Stegostoma tigrinum: one gene and its partner. Each later gene encodes a partner of the first gene's protein in a complex. Links are inferred from orthologs where the notes say so. Each region holds a gene or a part of one and is shown on either strand. Other genes may lie near its edges.

The links.
Region 2: the proteins of mmp2 (region 1) and timp2a are in contact, whole or in part, in a crystal structure (PDB 1GXD), measured with the Homo sapiens proteins. The link is inferred for Stegostoma tigrinum from reciprocal best matches to the Homo sapiens genes MMP2 and TIMP2. Residues at the interface, in NP_004521.1 of Homo sapiens: Trp574, Lys576, Asn577, Lys579, Tyr581, Phe588, Arg590, Lys595, Asp599, Phe602, Lys604, Ile606, Ala607, Asp608, Ala609, Trp610, Asn611, Ala612, Asp615, Tyr636, Leu638, Leu645, Lys646, Ser647, Val648, Lys649, Phe650, Gly651, Ser652; in NP_003246.1 of Homo sapiens: Ile162, Pro163, Cys164, Tyr165, Ile166, Pro169, Leu173, Met175, Val178, Thr179, Phe191, Arg196, Asp198, Ser200, Cys201, Ala202, Trp203, Tyr204, Arg205, Ala208, Lys211, Gln212, Glu213, Phe214, Leu215, Asp216, Glu218.

What each region holds. Positions count from the first base shown.
Region 1 is NC_081369.1:21,842,623-21,855,102, reverse strand, and holds the start of mmp2 (72 kDa type IV collagenase), read left to right. Parts: upstream 1-7,472; 5' UTR 7,473-7,682; coding exon 7,683-7,835; intron 7,836-8,827; coding exon 8,828-9,054; intron 9,055-12,170; coding exon 12,171-12,319; intron 12,320-12,480.
Region 2 is NC_081375.1:16,773,797-16,785,948, reverse strand, and holds the start of timp2a (metalloproteinase inhibitor 2a), read left to right. Parts: upstream 1-6,552; 5' UTR 6,553-6,744; coding exon 6,745-6,874; intron 6,875-12,152. UniProt on the Homo sapiens protein: Complexes with metalloproteinases (such as collagenases) and irreversibly inactivates them by binding to their catalytic zinc cofactor. Known to act on MMP-1, MMP-2, MMP-3, MMP-7, MMP-8, MMP-9, MMP-10, MMP-13, MMP-14, MMP-15, MMP-16 and MMP-19.

The DNA of each region.
Region 1 (12,480 bases):
ATATCTTCCAGATCTTGTTCACAAATCCATTTTTCTCATCTGTCCTTTACCAGCTGCTGATAAAGGTCCACTAGTATACTCTTAAGTCTGCTCATTTTATTTGCGAACTCTGCAGATTGCCTTTCATCTTTAAATGTGATTTTATCATTGCAATTGTGAGTAAAGCAAGGTATGCAAAATTCTCGAAACTTCATTAAGTTTCAATGCGTCTGGCTAAAAATGGCAATTCTCAGGTGGCGCATTTCACATTTTTTGTCGGGTTGTTAAGTAATTATAGATGCCATTTAGGTCATAAGTGTCCATTTTAAAGCCATGTTAGTCCATGAAAATGTCAGGTACTAAAGTCAAATGTTGAATAAAAACAGAAGTTGCTGAAAATGCTCAGCAGGTCTGGCAGCAACTGTGAAGAAAAACATCAAAGCTATCATTTTGGGTCCGGTGACCCTTCCTCAGAACCAAAATGATGAACTTTGAGTAGTGAAAGTCCATTTTCAGTATGATCATATCACAAAGTAAGCAAAAATAAAGTTGTAAAAGTGTCATTTTTACTTCAATTGTAACACTTCCATCATTGGGTCAGAAGTTGTTGGTTCAAATCTGGCCAGATATTTGGCCACGTAACATAGGACGTGAAAGCAGCAGTAGCACACACAAACGTTTCCTTTACTTTGAAGGATCAAACACTGGTATATTTAGAAAATGTCTAAAGTAAGTGGATTCCCCACAGCTTTCACTATATATGAAACATATTGTCTCGATATTGCTGGATCTGATGAAATGTTGCTTCACCCTCATGCTCCACTGTGAAATAATTTTAGCCCATAAGTTAATGGAAAAGAGGGGCATCTAGTTCATTGAAGGATGAGGGGGACAATTCATGTTTCATTTCCCACTGAGGCTTTAAAATGTTATATTTAATCACCATTTCCAAACATATTATGATTAAGTCTACAACAGGTGAAGCTTGAACGCAGAACTTCTCCTGAGATAGGAACATTACCACCACACCATTAGACACCACATCAAGGGCAACCTCATGATCAAGAAATAAACAGGATTAAGTATTGTCATGTCAGATATAGAAAGAGCCATAAAGAGAGGGAAAAAGAGACTGATTAAGAGATTTTTTAAAAAGCATAACAAAGAAAATTAAACCTACAATGTCAATAATCTCTAACAACAATTCTGTACTGACAGGACTAACTCCTCAGTTTAGGTTGTTCACTTTCTTAGCTAAGTCTCAATGTTTAAAAAAAAATGTTTTGACTGTTAGGTCCCACTCCTAAATTTCTAGACTTCATTTGGTAATCAATATGCAAACACAGCAGTTTTGTGAAACCCGCAAGGAGATTCAAATCAAGCTGTGGTTCCTCTCTCGGGAGTGGGCATTTCAATTCATAGCATTGTCTTCCTTATCTACAGGTCTTGCACACTTTATACATTAAGCATGGTGTATGTGTATTAATTTCACCATTATTTAGGCAACAAAATTTGAGCCCATTATTTGCTTAAAAATAGCAATGTCTGTAAAACACATAAAGGCCTATTTATTCTGATGGTCAGATAGTGACTGGAACAGTACAGACAGGAGTTGTAAATACATGCAAACTCATGTCTGGGCCCTGAGGGATCCAGCATGCAAAAGATTCTGTGAGAATTGTTCAGGAAATTGACAATTCAAATGGACAATTCCCCTATGTTCAAAACCTCAAAAAGAAACTATTAAAGACAGAGAATTTGGAGGATTCCTCTTCAGTTAAGAATCATAGAATTTCTACAGTGTGGAAACAGTCCACTTTTCCACTTTTAATCCTGCCTAAACCTTCAATTCCTCCTTACTCCGTATGTCAATCTGCTCAAGAACCTCATAGTTTGTTTTAAATTCATCTGAAAGATGTCGGCATCGCCAGCTGGCCAGCATTGCTAGCCCATCCCTAGTTGCCCTTGAGAAGGTGGTGGCGAGCTGCCATCTTGAACCATTGCAGTCCACCTGCTGTAGGTTGACTCACAATACCATTAGGGAGGGAATTCCCGGATTTTGATTCAGCGACCGTGAAGATATATTTCCAAGTCAATGCGGTCAATGGCCTGGAGGAGAACTTGAAGATGATGTTGTTGCCATGTATCTGGTGTCCTTGTCTTTCTAGATGGAAGTGTTCGTGGGTATGGAAGGTGCTGTCTGAGGGTCTTTGGTGAATTTGTGCAGTGCATTTACAGATAGTACACACTGCTGCTACTAAGTGTCACTGGTGGAGGGAGTGGATACTTGTGGATGCCGTGCCAATCAAATGGGCTGCTTTGTCCTGGATGTCAAGCTTCTTAAGTGTTGTTGGAGCTGCATTCATTCAGGCAAGTGAGGAGTATTCCATCACACTCCTGACTTGTGCCTTGTAGATGATAGACAGGCTTTGATGATTCATGAGGTAAGTTACTCACCACAGTATTCCTAGCATCTGACCTGCTCTTGTAGACACTGTGTTTTTGCAGTGAGTCCAGATGAATTTCTGGTCAATGATGATCCCTCGGGTGTTGATAGTGGGGGATTCAGGGATGGTAACACCACTGAATGTCAAGGGTCAGTGGTTAGATTGTCTCTTATTGGTGATTAAATTGAATTGAATTAAATCATTTATTGTCACATGTATTCAATACAAAATACAGTGAAAAGTTTATTCCAAGGCCATGCATTGGCACCATTCTCAAAATAAAATCAAAATAAAGAAAGGTAACTTAAAGAGAATCCAACTTTTCCTTCTCCGTTGCTACAGTCCCACACCGGGCTCCACCAGCCCATGCCATGATGCTGCCAGAGTCCCACTTTAGGCTTCACCAGCCCATTCCATGCCACCACTAAAGTCCCACTCCAGGCTTCACAGGCCAGCCAACTCTATAGCCATGCTGCCACCTTCCTGCTGAAGGGCTCTCTTTATCAGATAAATTTAAGCAAAAGCTACAAAGAAGCTGAGAAAAGTAGACGAAAAAGGAATGGAAAAACAGGAGTGCCTGGGGACAGGAGGGCAGACGTTGCCTACTCCGCAAAAGTAGCAATTAATAAGATTGTGAACGTTGATAGAGATTGATAAGAATGTGAATGGCAATGGATGCAGTGGAAAGTATGAGGTTTCTTCCCAGGAATCTAGGGGATACTGGTTCAAGGTGTGGGGGGGATGTTTAAGAGGGATGTGCGAGGCACATTTTTCACACAAAGGGTGGTGAGTGCCTAGACCGTGCTGCCAGAGGAGGTGGTGGAAGCAGACACAAGAGCAACATTCAAGGAGCACCTGGATAAATACATGACTAGGAGGGGAATAGAGGGATACTGATCCTGTAAGTGAAGACAGTTTTAGTATGGAAAGGCAAAATGTGTCAGCACAGGCTTGGAGGGCTGAAGGGCCTGTTCCTGTGCTGTTGCATTCTTTTGTTCTTAGTTCCACCACCATTATCCTGGTTATGATCATCTTGTTGCTCATAGCCTGGCGTTTGTGTAGCACGAATGTCATTTGTTACTTGTCAGCCCAAGTCTGGACATTGTCCAGATTTTGTTGCCTTTGAACACAGACTAGCTCAGTAACTGAGGAGGCACAATGGTGCTGAACATTGTGCGATCATTGGTGAACATCCTCACTTCTTACCTTATCATGGAGTGAAGATCATTGGTGAAGCAGCTGAAGATGGCTGGGCCAGGATATTACTGTGACGGACTCCCGCAGAGATGTCCTAGAGCTGGGATAACTGACCTCCAACAACCATGATCAACTTCCTTTTTTCCAAGTACAACTCCAACCACTGGAGAGTTTTCCCCAGATACCCACTGATTCCAGTTTTGCTTGGGGTCCTTGATGCCACACTCAGCCCAATGTAGCCTAGATGTCAAGGGCTGTTATTCTCACCTCATCTCTGGAATCAGCTCTTTTGTCTACGTTTGAACCAAAGCTGTAATGAGGTCAGGACCTGAGTGGCCCTGGTGGAACCCGAACTGGGCATCACTGAGCAGGTTATTGCTGAGCAGATGCTGCTTGATAGTACTGTTGTTGACACTTTCCATCAGTATATTGATGATCAACAGTAGGCTGATGGGATGGTAATTGGCCAGGTTGGATTTGTTTTGCTTTTTATGTACAGGATGTACATGAGAAAATTTCCACATTGTCAGGTGAATGCCAATATTACAGCTGTACTGGATAACAAAGAGTGGAGCTGGATGAACACAGCAGGTCAAGCAGCATCTCAGGAGCACAAAAGCTGACATTTCCGGCCTAGACCCTTCATCAGAGAGCAGTTGTACTGGAACAGCTTGGCTAGGGGAGCAGCAAATTTGGGAACGCAAGCCTTCAGTACTATTGCTGGATGTTGTCAGGGCCTGTAGCCTCTACAGTATCAATTGTCTCCAATCGTTTCGTGATATCACATTGGAATGAATCGAATTGGCTGAAGATTGGTAGGTGTAGTGCTGGGGACTACTGGAAGAGGATGACTTGGATTATCCAGTCAACACTTCTGGCTGAAGATTGCCGCAAATGTTTCAGCCTTATCTTTTGCATAGATGTGCTGGGTTTTTCCAGCATTGAGGATGGGGATATTTGCGGAGCTTCCTCCTCCAGTGAGTTGTTCAATTGTCTACCACCATTCACGACTGGATGTGGCAGGACTGCAGAGCTTAGATCTGATCTACTGGTTGTAGAATTGCTCAGTTCTGTCTGTCACCTGCTGCTTATGCCATTTGACATGCACGTACAACATAGAGTGGAGGTGGAGGAACACAACAGGCCAGGCAGTATCAGAGGAACAGGAATGTTGACATTTCAGGTCGGGAACTTTCTTCATAAATATCTGAACCTGAACCGTCAACTTTCTTATTCCTCTGACGCTGCTATGTTCCTCCAGATCCACACAGTGTTGTCTCTGACTCCAGCATCTGCAGTTCTTGCTATCTCCTAAACATGCAAATAGTCCTGTTTGGTGACTTCACAAGGTTGGCAAATCATCTTCAGGTATGCCTGGTGCTGGTCTTGGCATGCCCTCCTGCACTCTCTACTGAACTACGGTTGATTCCCTGACTTGATGGTAATGGTTGAATGGAGGGGAGTATGTGAGCCATGAGGTTGCAGATTGTGCTGAAGTACAATTCTGCTGCTGTTGTGGCCCCCGGCACCTCACAGTGCCTCTTCCTGAATTCTGTATCTACATTCTCCTTCCCCTGAGTGAAAACAGATGTGAAGTAGTCTTTTAATACTCTACCAGTGTCTGCCAAATCCCATGCCCTTATTGTCCCTTTGGTCCCTAATGGGTCCTACTCTTCCCCTGATTATCATATTCCACTTGATATGCTGTACAATATCTTGGGATTCTCCTTCATCTTCTCCACCTGTACTTTGTTCTTTGCTCTCATAATTATTTAATTTCCCCTAATCATTTTCTATACTGTACTAAGGCCTCCATTTGTATCTGTCAAAAACCTCTCTTTTCCTTCTTATCGAAGGGTTTCATGGGCTTATTACACCTACATTTCATCATAACGGGAATATGTTGTGCTTGCACTCTCCCCAGTTCCTTTTTGAGCATCCCCCTACCCCACCTCCCATCCTGTGGATTTACCAAGAAGGGGTTGTTCACAGTCTACTGTGGCCAGGTTCTGCCTTAATTTAATAAAATCTGTCTTCCCCAATCCATATCTCTGTTTGCAGGCCAACATGTTCCTTTCCCATAACAAACTCATGATATTATACATTGTGGTTCACTAACACTAAAATGCTCCCCTATTGACACATTAAACATCTTCATTCCCCAGAATGACGTCCAGTACTGCATCATCCCTGTTGGACCTTCTAGATATTAAAAGCTCTCCTGAATACGTTGAATATAATTGAAGAGCAGAATACACCGAACACACTGACCCCTATAAACCCTTTACACGATGACTATCCCAATTAATACTTGAATATTTGTCTGGCCAACATGTAACTCCAGGCAACATGGTTGACTCTTAACTGTCCTCTGGGCAAATATGGATGGGCAATAAATGCTACCCAGCCAGCAATGCCCTCATCCCATGAATGAATAAAGAAAAAAAATTCCAGTATTGTATGAGATAACACAATGTGGAGCTGTTGGAACACAGCAGTTAAGGCAACATCAGAGGAGCAGGAAAGCCGACGTTTCAGGTTGGGATCCTTCTTCAGAAGCTTTTCTGAAACATTTCTGAAGAAGGGTGCTGACCCAAAACATCATCTTTGCTGCTCCTCTGATGCTGCTTGGCCCGCTGCGTTCCACCTGCACCATACTGTGTTATCCAGGATTGTATGGTTGTCGTTACTTGAACATGTAAAGATTAAGCAATGAGTTGGAACAGAGTGGGGTTGTACGTGCGACTCTCTTTAAAGATTCCTGTCAATGTACAAAGAACCAACCTAAATAGTTGGACGACAGTCCACATTAATGCCAAGTCTCAGCACTTTACACCTGCCTCAGCCCTTGTGCTGCCAATAGGTGTTGTCACTTCTAGGTAAACTGTGCAAAATGCTCGAAGTTTAACCCACAAACGGCCTTGAATGCACGGCAAATGCAGTATACTTTCCAGGAACAGCAATTGAAAATGATGCGTGAAGATTGCAGCCCCGTTCCTGTGTTGTAGCGAGCGGCCTCCTCCAGACCCTCCCACGGGCTGTGTTGGAGTTATTCGGCCAGCGAGCGATCCATTGCAGTTAACATCTGGCTGCATAAGCATGGAAAAAGATGTCTTGTCTGGCACACAAAAACACACAAAGACTATCTGGCGCCTCCAGGCTTGTGATTGTTCCAGTCATGCAACAAGTTTACAACACGCCCTTCAAATTAAAAATTGGCATTTTTTTCATCACTGCACTCTAGATTCTTAAAAAGGGTGGGTTTAAAAGTGCGAATCGTTTTAACAGGATTTTAATATACCCTTCATGTTTATATTGAGTATCAACACAATTAAGGGGCCAATATTACCCGTGCCTAGAATTACTTATTAATCATTATCTGTGGACTGAATGGTCAGTACATGCAGCTTTATTTCTGCAATTCTTCGCTTGAAAGATACATTTATACAGCGCCTTTCTCCATAACTGGATCTCCAAAAGTACATATGGAATGCGATTACTGTAAGGAAGAGATATTGCCTCAAGAGAAGAAAAATATCAATGGCGTACTTTGGGGTCAAAAGCCTGTGTCCTTTTGCAACCGATACAATTCTAACGTCTGAATTGTGAAATGAACTCAAAACCTGAGCGGTTTGTTTCACGTGTACTGTTTTTTTTTCGAAATATGATGGGAACATTGTTGCTTTCTGACAATTTTGGTGCATTTACCCAACGATCATGCCTTTAAAACAAAACTCGTTCATTTTCGGAACAGTCTTGTTTCCAAATATAAACTTGGGGCAGCCCCAGTCGCCAGAGAATGCATTTCCTTCGGTGGATTTTTTTTCAACTTCCGCCAGTCCTTCTGCTCTAGCAGATCGGTCGCGTCTGCGCATCTGGAAGTACAAAGGATTTCAGTCGGCAGGGACTCAGCTAAGAGCGGCACATAGTTGCCTGAGACTAGCTGTGCTGGCAAAGCAGAGAAACACTGCATAATGTTTGTGCAGTGAAGGATATCGCAGAGACACCACAGCAACGGCATTTCTTTTTGATAAATAGGTGCTCTCCCACTGGAAGAAAATGACCATGGAAACAAGCGGCAACTTTTATCGCTTAGTCTTAAAAGTAACCTTGCTCCAGATCATCTGGGTCCAGCAGACTTTAGCGGCACCGACTGGCATAATCAAGTTTCCAGGTGATAACAGCACGAAGACAGACAAGGAAATAGCCACTGTAAGTGTGGGGAGACGTTAACTTTCTAATGCCCGGCTGCCTTGCAAATGGCGTTTTATGTTAAGTGGTCGTTTTCTTTAGCTTTCACAACAGCTGTTGAAACGAAGGAAGCGATTACTTTTTCCCCCCTCAGTGGCTCCAGGGCATCAAAGTTTCTTAAAAGTCTAGAAGAGAGAACGCCACGGGGCTTGATAACATCTGTTCGTTTTGGCAAGGCAGGGGACCTTGCATGTAGACAAAACAAAACAATTATAGATAAGTGGAACCTCACATTGTTTATCTAAGAGCTATCCAATAGCTTAGTGATAGGATTAATCTTATATTTCAATGAACACAAGGGCAGGACTAAGTTTAAAAAAAATTTGGGAAATTAGTCACAAAACAAGTAGAACAAATGTAATCTTTCCATATGCCTACTGTGTCCGTATATATGTTACAAAACATTTAATACGTGTCAAATTAACAATGTACTTTGGATGCTAACTTATTGCCATAATTTAATAAGCATCCATACAAGATCCCGAAAGTTTGTGGGTATTCTAACGGTGTCTGTGCTGAAAAAATAATGGCATAAATCCAACTGCCTCTAGGATTACAGAAACACGTGACAGATTTCTGCAGGCTATTAGCCAATGAAAGTTGGCTTTTGGAGTATCAAGTTATGAATATACTTGAAAACGTTAACGTCAAGCGCACTACAAGTTTCAAGAAGTTAACACAAGAAAATCAGGATGTCTGTTTGACTTATCAAGTCCTTATAACACAATATTAGTGCAAAATGAAATCTGCAATGTAAATAAGAATTATAATGCATTTAAAGTGGTCAGCCCTCAACTTTTGAATCCATTCAGAATTTCTCAAATACACCAGCAAAGTTTGCCACAAGTTCAACCAACACAGAATCAGAGCATTTTCAACTAACTTGTTAATGTCTGTCTCAAAATCTTTAATATTTTACCTATACAAACATATTTCTTTATATTTTATATTAGTTATATTTGAATAAATTCTATGGCTGCCCGAAAGAAAGGTGTGATCTTGTGGTACTGTCAGACACACTGAAGAAGATGCAGAAATTTTTTGGATTACCACAAACTGGAGAACTGGACAGTGAGACAGTAAGTGTGATGAAGAAACCGCGGTGTGGAGTTCCTGACGTGGCCAATTACAACTTCTTCCCACAGATGCCCAAATGGGAGAATAAGCAAATAACTTATAGGTAGGTGTGTATAAACATGTGGAGTTTTCTTCGGTGTGTCTTTTAATCACTTATGTAACTGGTAAGACGGTTTCATTGGGATTGTTTCAATATTTAAAGTTTTCAAGAAGATTTGTAGCTCAGATGAGGTTGTAGACATGCTTGCTGAGCCGGTAGGTTTGGTTGCAAACATTTAGTTACCTTGCTAGGTAACAACTTCAGTGTGCCACCAGTGAATGCAAAAACACCAGGCAACTCCAGACTAGCCACTGTATAGAAAGACCACACATACAGACCGAATACTCAATTACACTAGTGATCACCTCAGTGCCCATAAACAGAGCTGCATCAGGACACTATTTAAATGAGCCACAACACATTGCAACAACCCAGAACAATGCAAAGTGAAACAGAAGCACATATATGGAGCCTTCAAAAGGAATGTACTCTCGAAAAGCATAATCCACTGTTACCTCCGAGACAGATCACAATGGGAAGACACAACATGACCAGAATCACTAATCACCCTACCATTATTCAAAGATGACAACAAGACTACTCAGACCCTTGGGTATCAGGGCAGCCCACAAACCAGCAACCATCCTGCGACAGCTGCTGACAAATCTAAATGATTCTATACCCAAAACCAGTGTAATATATAAAATACCATGCAAGGATTGTGAGAAACACCACCTGATCAAACTGGAAGAAAACTGACAATAAGGATACATGAACATCAGCTAGCCGCCAAGAGACACCACCAGTTCTCACTTGTCTCGCTACTCACAGACAACAAGGGACGCAATTTTGACTGAGACAACACATCCATAATAACACGAACCAAGCAGGGACACACCAAGGAATTCCTGGAGGCCTGGCATTCTAACGAACACATTGAATTAGACCCAGTGTACAAACCAGAGAAACAGAACCAGAAGTGGTACGAAACACCCCAGCAAACTGAGGCAAATAAATAACCAGAGGCACACTGATGATGTTACCAAGCAGGGTGATGAAACATTTGCAACCAAATCCACTGGCTTGGCGAGCATGTCTAAAACTTCATTGTTTCAATATGCTGTAGGGAAACGAAAATAGTTTTTGATTGATTGTTGTATTACTCTGTTATTTCAAAATTGTTTCCTTGAAGGAAAGATATTAATTGTTTAATCGGTTGTTTCATTAAATGCATCATGAAAATTGTAATAGAAAGCAATAATAATATATTTAAAGGAGGACTTGGTGAAACGTAATGTGAATTTAGTCCTAAAATAAGAACGAGAACAATTTTCAGTAGATATCTTGAGTAACAAAGACTATTTACAGCTGTTTTTTAGACTATGAAAAATGTTCATTCGAAATTTTGCTGAAATATAAGATTTATCCAGAGCCTCCGTTAGGACCAAATAGAATCATAGAATCCCCACAGTGTGGAATCGGGCCATTCAGCCCATTTAGGTCACTGACCCTCCAAAGAGCAACCCATTCAGACACACTCTATCCCTATAACCCTACATTTCCCATGGCTAATCCACCTCATCTGCTCATCCCTGGATACTATGGACAATTTAACCTTGGCAATCCACCTAACCTGCACATCTTTTGGACTATGGGACGAAACTGGAGCACCCAGAGGAAACCCATGAGACACGGTGAGAATGTGCAAGCTCCACACAATTGGTCATCCAGGGGTGAAATTGAACCTGGATTCTTGCTGCTGTGAAGCAGCAGCGCTAACCACTGAGCCACCATGAGCATTCAAGCTAGAAGAGTGGTGATCAGACACATTTCAAGCGAAAAGAGGAGTATGATAAGTTTGTGTACTATCACCAAAATTAGTCGCTGTACACAGTGAACAAATATACTTCTCTGAAAGGGTCATGAATCTGCTGAATTCACTACCCTGGAGTAGAGTGATTGCCAGTGCACTGAATAAATTCAAAGATTAGATAGATAGACTTTTAATTAGTAAAGGGTCATAGGGAGCGGGCAGAAAAATGAGGCCGAGATAAGATCAGCTGTGATCATGTTAAATGGCAGAACAGGCTGCAGGGCATGAATTGCCTACTTCTGCTCCTAGTTGTTAAATAATTAGCGGATTAGATTAACTTCTATGGATGATGAATTGGGCAAGAATATAACAGACTGTGGTATGCTGATGACACACCACTTCTTGCAGAATCAGAAGAGACCCTACAAAATGTTATAGATGCAGTAAAATTTTGAGGCTTAGCCAGTGGATTGTGTACGAACACCCAGAGGGCAAATAAAATGTTACTCCGATGGAATACAAATGTACTAGAGTGAAGAATGAAGTTGATGGTGTCACACTGGAATAAATAGATACTTATCTGTACTTATCAAATGATAACTGCATTTGGCAGATGCAGTGCCCTAGTTAGGGTAACAACAGAGGTAGACAGAGGTAATTTTGTAAAATGAAGGTTTTATTCTCAACATGAAAACTTTTGTTTGTAACAAGAAATGAACTCTCAAAACTCTCCTATATGCCTAAGGAAGCTGGACAGCACATCATGATCTGTGGAAGAAAATAGAGTCCTTTTGAAATGTGAATGCTGAGAACATAAGCTAAAAATTGGATAGACAGATCATAAGACAAATGAAAAGGTACTTGAAGTTTCAAGAGCTGTGACACTCTTAAAGAGTGACATTCAGAAAATAAAATGTCACTCTTTCAGCCATTTGGTCAAGGTGAAAAGCTGCAGGAATTGCCTTAGAGGGCAAAATGGAGGGCAGCCGTTGGAGAGGTCACCCTGGGGTATTTCAGTGATTGGGTGTCACAGAGCAGTTACAGAGAAGGAACAGTAGATTTGTGAGGATGGTGCAAGACAGACAAACATGACGGACCACAACATGAGCTCTCCTGGCAGGAGTAGCCAAGAACAGAAACAGCAAGGTACAAATCAATGAACTTATGAAAAGTATTTCCTGTTACCACTTAAGGAAAGAAAAGACTTGCAGTCAACAATGTGCCAAAAAGGATTTGTTTTTGCTTAAAATAAATCATTGTATCACTGTAAATTCTAATGGGAGTTATGAGAAGGATTTCTGTCATTGCTGCCTTACATTACTGATTAGGCATATCAAGCTGAGCTTCTGCTGCTTATTCCTTACAGGATTTTGGGATACACTTACGATCTGGACTCTGAGACAGTGGATGATGCTTTTGCTCGGGCCTTCCAGGTATGGGCTGACGTCACACCACTGTCATTTTCAAGGATCTTCGATGGAGAGGCAGACATCATGATCAACTTTGGCCGTTGGGGTAATAATTAAATTTCTTGAAACCTAACACAGATGTTGGATTATAAATATTCAACATGGCTTTTGTCAGTGATGTCTAAATGGGACTTTTATGTGGTGCTTCCATATAAGAACACTTAATCCAAGTATTTGTCAAACACTTTGTGTTAAGCAGATGTTTTG
Region 2 (12,152 bases), on another chromosome or scaffold:
ACTGTTGTACAGCTCATAAACAAAACTTTTCACTGTACTTAGGTACATGTGACAATAAAAAAAATCATTCAATCAAGATTGAGACTTCCAAGTGTTTCCTAAGGAGTTCCAGGTTTTTATAAACTTATAGAGTCATATAGCATAGAAGAAAGCCCTTTGGCCTACCATGTCTTTGCCGACCAACAGACACCGAACACCCAACTAAAATAATCCCATTTAACTGCACTTTGTCCATAGACTACAATGACCTGGCATTTTAAGTACCCATGAGGGTGCTTCTTAAATGTTGCAAGATATTCTGCCCCCACTCCCTTCTCAGGTAGTACATTCCATATTTATACTACCCCTCAGGTGGAAATTCTCTCATGTCTCTTCTAAGCCATTTGCTCCTCACTTTAAATGTTTGCCCTGTAGTCTTAGACACACTTGCCAAGGGGGAGAGATTCTCACAATCTACTCTGTGTATACCTCTCATAATTTTGAATCCCTTAATCAGGTCCACCCACCACCCCTCCACCTCACCCCTCCGACCCCCCCCCTCCCCTTTCCTACCCACTCAACCTTTACTGCTCCAAGGAAAATAAACCAGGCCCATCCAGTCTCTCTTCACAACTGAAACTTGTCATTCTACACATTATCTTGATGAATCTCCTCTGCACCTTCTCCTGTGCAACCACATCCTTCCAATAATGTAGCAACCAGAACCGCACACAGTATTCTATATGTGGCCCGATCAATGTTTTATAAAGTTGTGACAAAACCTCTTTGCCCCTATATTCTATACCCTGGTTAGTAAAGGCAAACATTCTGTATGCCTTCTTAACCACCACGTTTACCTGTGCTGACACCTTCAGGGGTGTAGGACTTGTATCCTAATGTCCCTTTATTATTCAGAACTTCCTAGGGACCTACCGTTCATCATTTATATCCTTCCCTTATTTGACCACCCAAAATAAATCACCTTGCACTTATCTCTTGCCTCAATTCTACATTGAAATTTATACCAGATATTTATCACACTTTCTTTTATCAGTCAAAGCAATGTTTAAGATTAATGTTCTTTCAACTCTTAACAAGTTCCTGTACTTAATGCCATAATGTAACTCCTTTATTCAGAAAGGGAGAGACAGAAAGGTCCACTACAGGCCACTTAGTTTAACGTCTGTTACAAGAGGGTATTTAGAAAAGTTCAAGGCGACCAGACAGAGTCAATATGGTTTTCTGAAAGAGGGATCATGTTTAATCAGTTTCTTCGAGTCTTTGAAGAGCAATTTTTGCTGTAGATAAAGGAGAACTGGTGAATGCACTGTAGTTAAGTTTCCAGAAGACATTTGATACAGGGTGCCAGATTACTGCAGAACATAAATGCTTTTGTGTAATGCATGCCATATTGCCTGTCTAACAGGAAACAGTGATTCATTATCTCATTTGCAAGATGAAATGAGTGGTGTGCCAAAGTGATCAGTATGTGGGTCTCAAACTTTTACGATTCATGAATGCTTCAGATGTAGGGACTAAAGGTATGGTTGATAACACAAAAATAGGTAGAAAAATAAGTTGTGAAAACAATATAGGTGGGAACAAAGAGTTATAGCTTGGTTAAATGAGCAGGCAAGTATTGGCAGTTGGGTACAATGTAGGAAAATGTACAACTGAAAATTTTGACAGGAAGAACAGAAAAGGCATATTACCAAAATGATGAGAGACTGCGGAGATCTGAGATGCAATGAGATCTGGATTTCCTGGTGCATGAATCATAAAAGATTGGTATGCAGTTACAGCAAATTATTAGTAAAGTTGATAAAATGCTATTACTTATTATGTGAGCAGTTGAATTCAAATGTAGAGAGGTTACCCTTTACTTGCACAAGGCACTGGTAATACCACATCTGAATTATTGCGTACAGTATCCGCCTCCTTATTTAAAGAAGGATATAAATCCATTGGAAGCAGGCCAGAGAAATTTTACTAGACTAATACCAAGAACGAGCATGTTGCCTTATGAGGAAACGTTAGAAAGACTGGGGTTCAATACACTGGAGCTTAGAAGTCAGGGATGATTTGATTGAAATAGATAGGATCCTGAGAGGCCTTCACAGATTGGCTGGGGAAAAATAGTGGCTTCATTCAGCCATGATCTTACAAAATGGTGAAGCAGGCTCAGGTTGGGGTGAGGCGGGGTGAGAGCTAAATGGCCCACCCTAAACACCATATAAACTTACTGCATTTGTCAGCCATTTCCCTTCGACACCAGACAGGCCCAAGTTTCTCCAGAATTTCCTTCAAGCCTGAGATTTAGGCAAAACCTTATGATTTTTCTTACTTTCTCAGTGAACAGCACTAGTCTCAAGTTTTGGAATTCAACATGCACTCTGATCAAAGCACTACAATTTGTGATACTTCTCTCCTTTTTTAATATACATTCACAAAATGTGGGTATCACTAGCTACACCAGCATTTATTAACTATCCCCATTGTCCTTGAAAAGGTGGTGAGCTGCCTTTTTGAACTGCTGTAGTTCTTCAGGTGTTGTATAATCGAAGTGCTTTTAGGAGGGGAGTTTCAGGATTTTGGCCCAGCAACACTGAAAAAAACAATGATATATTCCCTCTCTGATGAAAGGTCTAGGCCTGAAACGTCAGCTTTTGTGCTCCTGAGATGCTGCTTGGCCTGCTGTGTTCATCCAGCCTCACATTTTATTATTTTGGAATTCTCCAGCATCTGCAGTTCCCATTATCTCTGATATATTTCCAAGTCAGGATGTTGAGTCGCTAGGTGGGGAACTGGCACATTATGATGATCTGATTTAACTAAAGCCCTTGTCCCTCCATATAGTGGAGGGCAAGGTTTGGAGGGGGCTGTCCGAGGAGTCTTGTTGAGTTACCATGGTGAACTATGACCTTTGCCAGTGTGTCAGTGTGAAGGAAGTGAATGTTGAAAGTGGTGATTGGGGTTACAATCAAGTGAGCTATTTTGTCCTGGATGATGTTAAGTCCTTGAATGTTATTGATTCTGCACTCCTCCAGGTAAGTTGTGAGTATTCTATCACATTTTGATTTATGCCTTGTGACCGCAGGTCATGCACTGAGGATGAGTTCATGGCTATGGAATTCCAAGCCTTTGACCAGCTGTTTTAGTCAGACCATTTATATGTCTGATCAAATTTAGTTTCTGGTCAATGGCCAACTCACTATAGGAGGAGGTTCCACAAATATCCCCAATCTCAATCAAGGAAGAGCCCAACACATCCGTGCAACAGCTTTTGCAGCAGCCTTCAGCCCAAAGTGCCGCATGGGAAATCCATCGCAGCCTCCTCCAGTGGTCCCCAGCATTACAGATACTGGTCTTCAGCCAATTCGATTCACTCCAGGTGATATCAAGAAATGGTGGGAGGCACTGGATAGTGCAAAAGCTACAGGTCCTGACAACATTTCAGAAATGGTACTGAAAACTTGTACTCCAGAACTTCCCACTTCCCTAGCCGAGCCCTTACCATGCACATACAACACTGGTATCTACCCGACACTGTGGAAAATTGTCCAGGTATATCCTGTACACAAAAAGCAGCTGAAATCCAACCTGACCAATTACTGCCCCATTAGTCACTCTCAACTATCAGTAAAGTGATGGAACACAAGTGTTTTCAAACAGTACCTGCTCAGCAATAATCTTCTCAGTGATGCCCAGTTTAGGCACTGCCAGGACCACACTGCTATTTACCTCATTATAGCTTTGGTTCAAACATGGACAAAAAAAGCTGAATTCCAGAGGTGAAGTTAGTGTGAAAGCCCTTAATATCAAGGCTGCATTTGACCAAGTGTGGTGTCAATGACCCCTAGCAAAACTGGATCTAATAGGTATCAGAGGGTAAACTCTCCACTGGCACATAGGAAAATGGCCGTGGTTGTTGCAGGTCAGTCATCTCAGCTCTAGGACATCTCTGCAGGCGTTCCTCAGGGCAGTATTCTTGGCCCAACCATGTTTAGCTGTTTCATCAACGACCTCCCCTCCGTCATAAGGTCAGAAGTAGGGATGTTCACCAATGATTGCACAATGCTCAGCACCATTCATGACTGCTCAGTCCATGTTCAAATGCAATAAGATCTGGATTATATCCAATTTTGGGCTGACAAGGGGCAAGTAATATTTGCTTCACACAAATGCCAAACAATGACTATTTCTAATAAAAGACAATTTAACCACAACATTCAATGGTGTTACCATCACTGAATTGTTCATTATCAACATCCTGGGTTTACCATTGACCGGAAACTCAACTGGACTTGTCACATAAACTCAATGGCTGCAATTGCTGGTCGGAGGCTAGGAATACTGCAGTAAGTAACTCACCGCCTGACTCCCCAAAGCCTGTCCACCATCTACAAGACACAAGTTAGGAGTGTGATGGATTATTTCCCCATTTGCTTAGATGAATACAGCTCCAAAAACACTCAAGAAGCTTGACACCATCCATGACAAATTAGCCCACTTGATTGGCACCGAGTCTACAAGCATTCACTCCCTAGACCACCGATGCTCAGTAGCAGCAATGTGTTCTATCTGCAAGCCACATTGCAGAAATTCACCAAAAATCCTCAGACAGCAACTTCCAAACTCAAGACAACTTCCATCTAGGGCAGCAGTTAAATGGAAACATCACCATCTCTGAATTCTCCTCAAAGCCATTCACCATCCAGACTTGGAACTTTATCGCCATTCATTCACTGTAACTGGGTCAAAATCCTGAAATGTCCTCCCTGAAGGCATTGTGGGTCAACCTACAGCAGCTAGACCACAGCGGTTCAAAAACTGCAGTTCACCACCACCTTCTCAAAGGTGACTAGGGATGGGCAATAAAATGCTGGCGAACCAATGATGCTCATGTCTCACAAACAAATTTTAAAAATGTCATTCCTGGGATGTTCCAACCATCCCAGGCATGCTCTGCTGTTTTTTGGACCTATTCCCATGAGACCTTTGCCATTCCATTTATCATCTCAGATGAATGCCTCCATTGACCCTGCCTCCATTACACACTCAGACAACACGTTCCAGGCCATAATCACTCTCTGCATGATAACAATTTTCCTCAAGTTTCATTGAGACTTCTGCCGATTGCCTTAAAAGTGTATCCTCTGGTTCTCAACCCTTCCAGAACTGGTGATGGTTTTTCCCTGATAACAAAGTGTGGAGCTGCATGAACACAGCAAGCCAAGCAGCATCTTAGGAGCACAAAAGCTAACCACTCTGTCCCAAGTCCTTTTGATTTTGAATTTCAATCTTCTCTCTTCTTCTTCAAGGCCACAGCATCTCTAACTAAGTAACCTCATCCCTGAAACCAAACTTGTTTACCATTTTTTGCACCCTCTAATGACTTGACATTCTTCCTGAAGCCTCTGCCGACACTGGGCAATTCTCCTGCTTGAACTAAACAAGTGTTTTACACAAGTTTTAACATTAACTTCCTTGCTTTTGTACTTGATACCCCTACTTATGAAGTCCAAAATTATGCATCCTATGAAATATATACCCTGGTTCTTCTGCTCCTATATATTGGGTAAGAAATCTCATTCTGGCTGTTGCTAACAGAAAATTCCAGATTCTGTTTTGTCTGGGTTATTTCTTACGAGTATTTTTTGGCCCCAGGAGGTCTTTTGTCATCCCCGACCTTGGGGATTATCTTTCCTATCCAGCGGTTTATGTGTTAGTTTGGAGAGTTATAATCATACCAATATGTCCGTATAATTTGTAAATGCGTGTTACCCAAGGGAAATCATGGACTTGATCTGGTTGGGTTTTTTCACTCGGATCGTCCTAGACATCTCAATATTATCAGTTAATTTGTCTCCTGGGAACAGCATCACATGGTGCTTTTTAATCAACGGAGCACTCGAAGTGAAATACTGCACTGCACACAGACAGCGAAGTCATTAATGCATTTGTCTGGTCAATTCAGTATCGTGTAGGCGGGCGGCTTTGTTTGTGTATTTTTACATGAGCAAATAATTTGATCGCCAAACTATCCATATTCTCATGAACAATAACCAGTATGCAGCAAGTGGGAAACGATTTGCAAAATTGGGAACTTCAAATTTAAAGCATGGATTTTCACCGTTTTTTTTAACCAAAAAAAGTGGCACAATCAAGTTCGTAAAAGGAAGCTTCTAGAAGCTACTATTTACAGGATTCCTTTCAGCTAAAATGTGTGTCTGATTAATAGCAGTTTACACTGAGGACTGGCAATGTCGAATCAGGTCAGATCTCTCGCGTTCACTGATGTTTATTACCAGCCCATGGAATACTTTCTTTTCAGTCTCTCTAATGAACTGAGCCACAGCGACGTACTCCACAGAGATTCGTAGCTCATTAAACCGAGAGGGAGAAAAAAAATGTGTAGAATTGCCCAGAGCAATGAAAAAAAAACAAGGCGTCTTTGATAGTGGGCCATCAACACTGGCTCTCGCTGTAACTGGTCCATTGACTTAGAGAGGCGGGGACAGCAGAAAACCTTCCAGCCACTAAATAGGGTTCAGCTCAGAGAGGACAGAATAAAACACGCCCAGCAGACGCACAGGCACGACACCGCTTCACTAGATGTCATTTTGCGAATTTATATTCCTCTTCCGAGATCACGCTCAACTAAACTTGCCGCGTGTTTGCCTGAGACAGGACAAGCTTCTGTAAGACCCTTATTCCTGGCGATCCCTTGCTGGAAGAAGAGCTTTACTTCTGTGAGGTTTTAAAATGAGTGCTATATTCAGCAGTCTGGTGGCAACATTGTTTCTGCTCATGGTTTTAAGGGTGGAACAGATCGCCGAGGCTTGTAGCTGTGCCCCGAACCATCCCCAGCAAGCTTTCTGTAATGCAGATGTAGGTAAGTAAAGACATCTTTCTGCAGTCAAGTGTGTTCCCCCCCCCCCGCCTCAAAGAAACCCACAAATTTAAAAATGCGACTGCGTTGAACACACGATACGACATGGTGATTTCCTGTTAAAAGCTGCCCGAAGTAAATGGAGCCAGAAGTCAGAAAGGAAAGTTTAAGGTACAGTATCACCGATACCAGCCTCTCCTGTCCTGTCATTGCACATATTCGAACTCAGCCCAGTGCTGATCTCTCCAGATGTTGCTATTTGATTTTCTTTAGAAGTAGCTCACAACATTGCTGGTTAATTTCAGATATTACTTGGAAACTGACAGGCTTGTAAAAAAGATGGAATCTTGTGGCCCTAACCTTCTCAGTACTTGTTGCCTATTGTGTTGCTTGAGTAGTCAGTCTGAACTTACAAGTGAAGCACGAACGTGTGTTTAAATCCTCAGTACATACCTGACCATTCCTCCCAACCACTTTGTTTATCAGGCAGAAGACTGATAATAATTGACTTGTGATGAGATTGTTGTTACAAGACAAAGTACTGTACCATTTTAGAAATGGGTTGTGACCAGAACTTTGCATATTTGGATCACTTTTAATTTATTCACTTCCATCTGTATATATTTCAGTAATCAGACCATTTTTGTTGATTTAAGAATACTGTTTCACAAAATAGTCCCTCAGCTATTTTAGAGCCAACACATTACTAAATAATTAGATACAGTGCCTGAGCTGTTTGTTGGAATGACTGAGTTCATACTTCACATCTTAGGTAAACCACATCCCAACAAACATTTCAGAACTCAAATGACATCTTTCCTTTAGCTAACATTTCAAGTGTGACCATATTTTTGAAAAAAAACAGTTGATCATACTTAAAAGGTTCAGCCACACCAGTTAGCCTTTGTAGTATTTTTCAGAGTATCTCAAACATTGAGGTTGTGCAGATTTTACCATTGTCTGTAAATGGGCTTGAGCCTATCGAGCACATTCTCTGGAGCCTGTTATTTCTGAACGAGATTAACTTGCACAGTTTTTTTTAATATTACTTGGCTGATTTAATAGCTTACAATCAAAACTGATTTGACTATGTATATGATTATGTATCCATTCTTGGAACCCTTGCTCTTGGCTTATAATGTGATTCCCCAGTGCATATTTGCACAATTAGTAGGACATATCATTGCAGAACTATTTGCATGCATATTTTTCATGTTCACATTTGTGTCTGTTACCTATTTGGGAAAAGACATCTTGTGGTATTGTACAGCATACGTGGAAAACGAAGAATTACAGGACTACAAACTTTTGAAAATCAAGTCTGTATTCACTTTTAAGGCCATCTTGCAGTTTATTTGCACATACTTTTATGAATATATCTGAAAAATGTATTATATTATTTAATGAGGCTTAAAATCAATTACTTATCATCTTTCAGTAAGAGATGTGTTTGCCTAAGAAACAGAAACATTGACAGTGGAAAGGCTCAAGTTGGCAAGTAGCCATTATACCATGAGTAGCGGCACTACACAGTTTCGTATCGAAATGTGTATTATTGATTCCAAACTTTTCTATGTTAGGGAAATAACACCTTGCAATGCACCAACATTTGCAAGGTTCCTACATCCTACCCACTGATAGATGCTGCCAAATGCAAAATTGCTATCATCATTGAAAATTCAAGTCATAGAAATGTTTATTAGTATGCAACAACACAAGTACTGTGCTATTAAATCAACAAGCACAGCAATCTAGTAACAGGCAAAAATCCTTGAAGACTTGCTCGGGTCTGGCACCCAAATGTGTTATTTTTCTCTCCTACACATTCCTCTTAAGACATACATTATTCCAGAGCCAAGCGTGTGGGCAGAAATGCTGCCCTCGAGCCTATGCCAATGCTATGATTCTGTCAGATCGCTTCAAGGTTCACAGCAGCAGCCTTGGGTGATTTGCTGATTTGGTTTCTTTTCCCCCACTAGTCCCTGTGAAAGATCATCATCTGCCCTGCATTCCACTTCATGCCTTTACCTGGCAGGAGACTTGAATGTTGGGAACGCATTGTGTGGAGATTGCAATTGCATCATAATGCTATTCCACGGCAAGCAATTCTAATACAGTTTACATTGCCAGGAAGCTGTATTGATTATTTAATATATCAGCAGCTCACTCACTGAAAAAGATTGAAGTTGTTGTTTTCGCTCCATTTTCTTTATCAAAGTCACCTGCAGAAAATTTAGTCTCAATGCCGTAAATATTTGTTGAACTGTACAGTCAGCTTTGGGTCCAAATGACGACCAGAAGTTGATCCTGTACCACTTCAAACAATTATAATCTAAAGCCTGCTTTCTTTAGCTGAACTGCAATTGGTGGTTGAAAACAGGTAATTAAGAAATTCATTTGAGAGTACAGACCAACTTAAGATGTTTTATGACTGGAGGCAGTAGTTTCTATGGTGGCTGCTTTCCACTGCAGCTTGTGCATTACATAGCACAAAATCAGCCTCCAGATTTCCTCCATAAATGGATTGCAATTTCATAACAGGGCTGTTATTTTGGATTATATTGCAAAAAGGATTGGGTGGACTGGAAGGTTTCAGCAGTAAAGTGCAATTATGAGTTTTGCTGCATAACCAAATAGTTTGCAAATGCTAGACTGCTTATGGTTTTAATTAGTGTCTGTATGGGCATTACTGTAATGTGCATGTCTGATTATAAACAACTTTGTTCATTCCTGAACTATTGTATGTAAATCTACAGTCTCTTTGAAGCAAGAGGTACCAATGCTTTCCCCAAGACTTGTGTACATAGAAGTTTGCATACAATAATAATTTGCAATTATCTATTTGAACATTTAATATCAACCTGGCAGTAATCCCTGCATGCACAGGATGTTTTGTAAATCTAATTTTCTCTCAATAGAGTCTCTTGCCATTTTTTTTCCTCAAGTGACAAACATGCACTATTTATCAGCATCCCAAAAGGGGACAGTTTAATGTTTTTAAAATTGCACTGGAGACTTCCAGTTGAATATTAAATTATGTCCCGTTTCCACCCCTTGCCTCCACCCCAACACTGGACAAGCTCCATCAGCAAATGTTAATCACACTATCAAAGCTTACCTACAGCAAAATAAAACACAATCCCACTGATCACTTCCTCCACTTACTGATGGGGGTAGGCGAAATAACCAACATCCTGTTTATCGAACTGAGAAACTGAATAGAGGTGGTTTTAAGGAAATTACATGACGTTTGTTGAATGTATGAGTAGGGCCATGTAACATGTTTGTTTTTGTGGTGGACTGTGCAATCACATTTTTATATATAACTTACTACAAATCGGTTCAGTGTCTGCCAGATATTGACTACAAATGATATGTTGTCAGCTGATAATTACAAATCCTTTATGCAAATCTTTTGTAACAAATGATTTTTGTTTTCAGTGTATCTTCTCCCAGAAGGCAGTACTAGCAACGCAAGTAACAGAAGAGGTTAATAGGAGCTGTGAATAAATAATATTTAATATGGATAAATTTGTAATAAATGTCCTAAAACTAACACGCAGGCTGTAACACCATAACATTTGATAGTATTCGGAGACTGTGATTAAACATTGTACTGAAGGTGAGGGTGCATTATACGTCTGGTTTGCCACTATTATATTTGGTGGCAATCAAGCCACCAACTCTTCCAACAGAATTTTATTTGGCTTTTCTTTTAAGTTTGTTAATAATAGTTCTATGTCATTTACTAGTTAAGAACAAGCATGTGAACATACCATTTAGGGGCAGGAGTAGGCCATTCAGCCTACAGAGACTGCTCCATGACATCTTACTGAAACCTCAAATCTACATTCCTGCTGACTTTAATAACCTTTCACCCTTTTGCTTAACAAGAATCAGTCTACCTCTGCTTTAAAAATATTCAGTGGCTCACTTTTTGTGTTTTATGGGTGACCCTGATTTTTAAACAGTGACCATGGCTTCTGGATTCCCTGTCAGAGGGAACATCCACTCCACAGCTGCCCTGTCAAGACCCCTCAGGATCTTGTACATTTCAATCGAATTATCTCTAACAGTTTTAAATTCCACCAGATACAAGCATAGCCTGCTGAACATTTCCTCAAGACAAGCCTCTCATTCTAGGCATTAATTTGAAAAACCTCCTATAAACTGCCTCCAATGCATTTAGATCTTTGATGAAACAAGGTGACAACATAATTCAGATCCAATCTCACCGTTATAACTGAAGCATAATCTTTACTCAAGGTCACTTCCCCTTGTGACAATTGATAATGGCCAATTATTTTTCCAAATTACTTGCTGTACCTGTGTACTAACCTTTTATCATTCATGAATAAAGACACTGAGGTCCCTTTGCATCTCGAGTGCTGCAATCTCTCATCATTTGGCTAACATGCAATTTATTGTTCTTGCCAAAATGCACATTTTCCCACTTTGTAACATCATGTTCATTTGCCAGATCTTTGGCAGCCCTCTTAACCTATCTATAATTTCTCTGTGGGCTCTTTATTTCCTCTTCAAACCTTATTTTCCGACTCACCAATTTTGGCAGCTTTCAATTAAATGAGATTGTTGCTAGATAAGGGCAGCCTTGGAAGATTAAAGCCAATACATTGGTTGAACTCCTCATAGAGACTACCTTTGCCACATCAGATTATTTTTTTTTCAATCGGTATGTAGATTAAATTCTCGTATGATTATTGCTATACCTTTCTGGTGAGTGCTTATTATTTCTTCCTTTATGTTCTACCATATCATGTGGTTACAGTTAGAATGGCCTCTACACTACTTCCACAAGTAACCTTTTCCTTTTTGTCGTCATCTCTCACCTCTATTTCAACATCTTGATTCCCTGAACTTGGGCCCCCTCCTTGATTGATCTAATACCATTATTAACCAACACAGTCACCCTTCTACCATCTCCTGTTTCCCTGTCATTCCATTTTATTCAATGATGCATTTAGTTTTCTAGGGAGCAATGGCCTAGTGGTATTATCACTGGACCATAAATTCGGAGACCCCAGTAAAGGTCTAGTGATCAAATCCTGCCATGGCAGATGTTGGAATTTGGATTCAATTAAAACGCTGGAATTATGAATCTAAATGATGACCAGGAAACCAGTATTGATTGTCAGGAAAAATCCCTTTCCTTCATTAGAGTCCTTTTTAGAGAAGGAAATCTGCCATCCTTGCCTGATCTGGCCTGCAAGTGACTCCAAACCCGCAATAATGTGTTTGATACTCTTCTTGCCATTCCTAT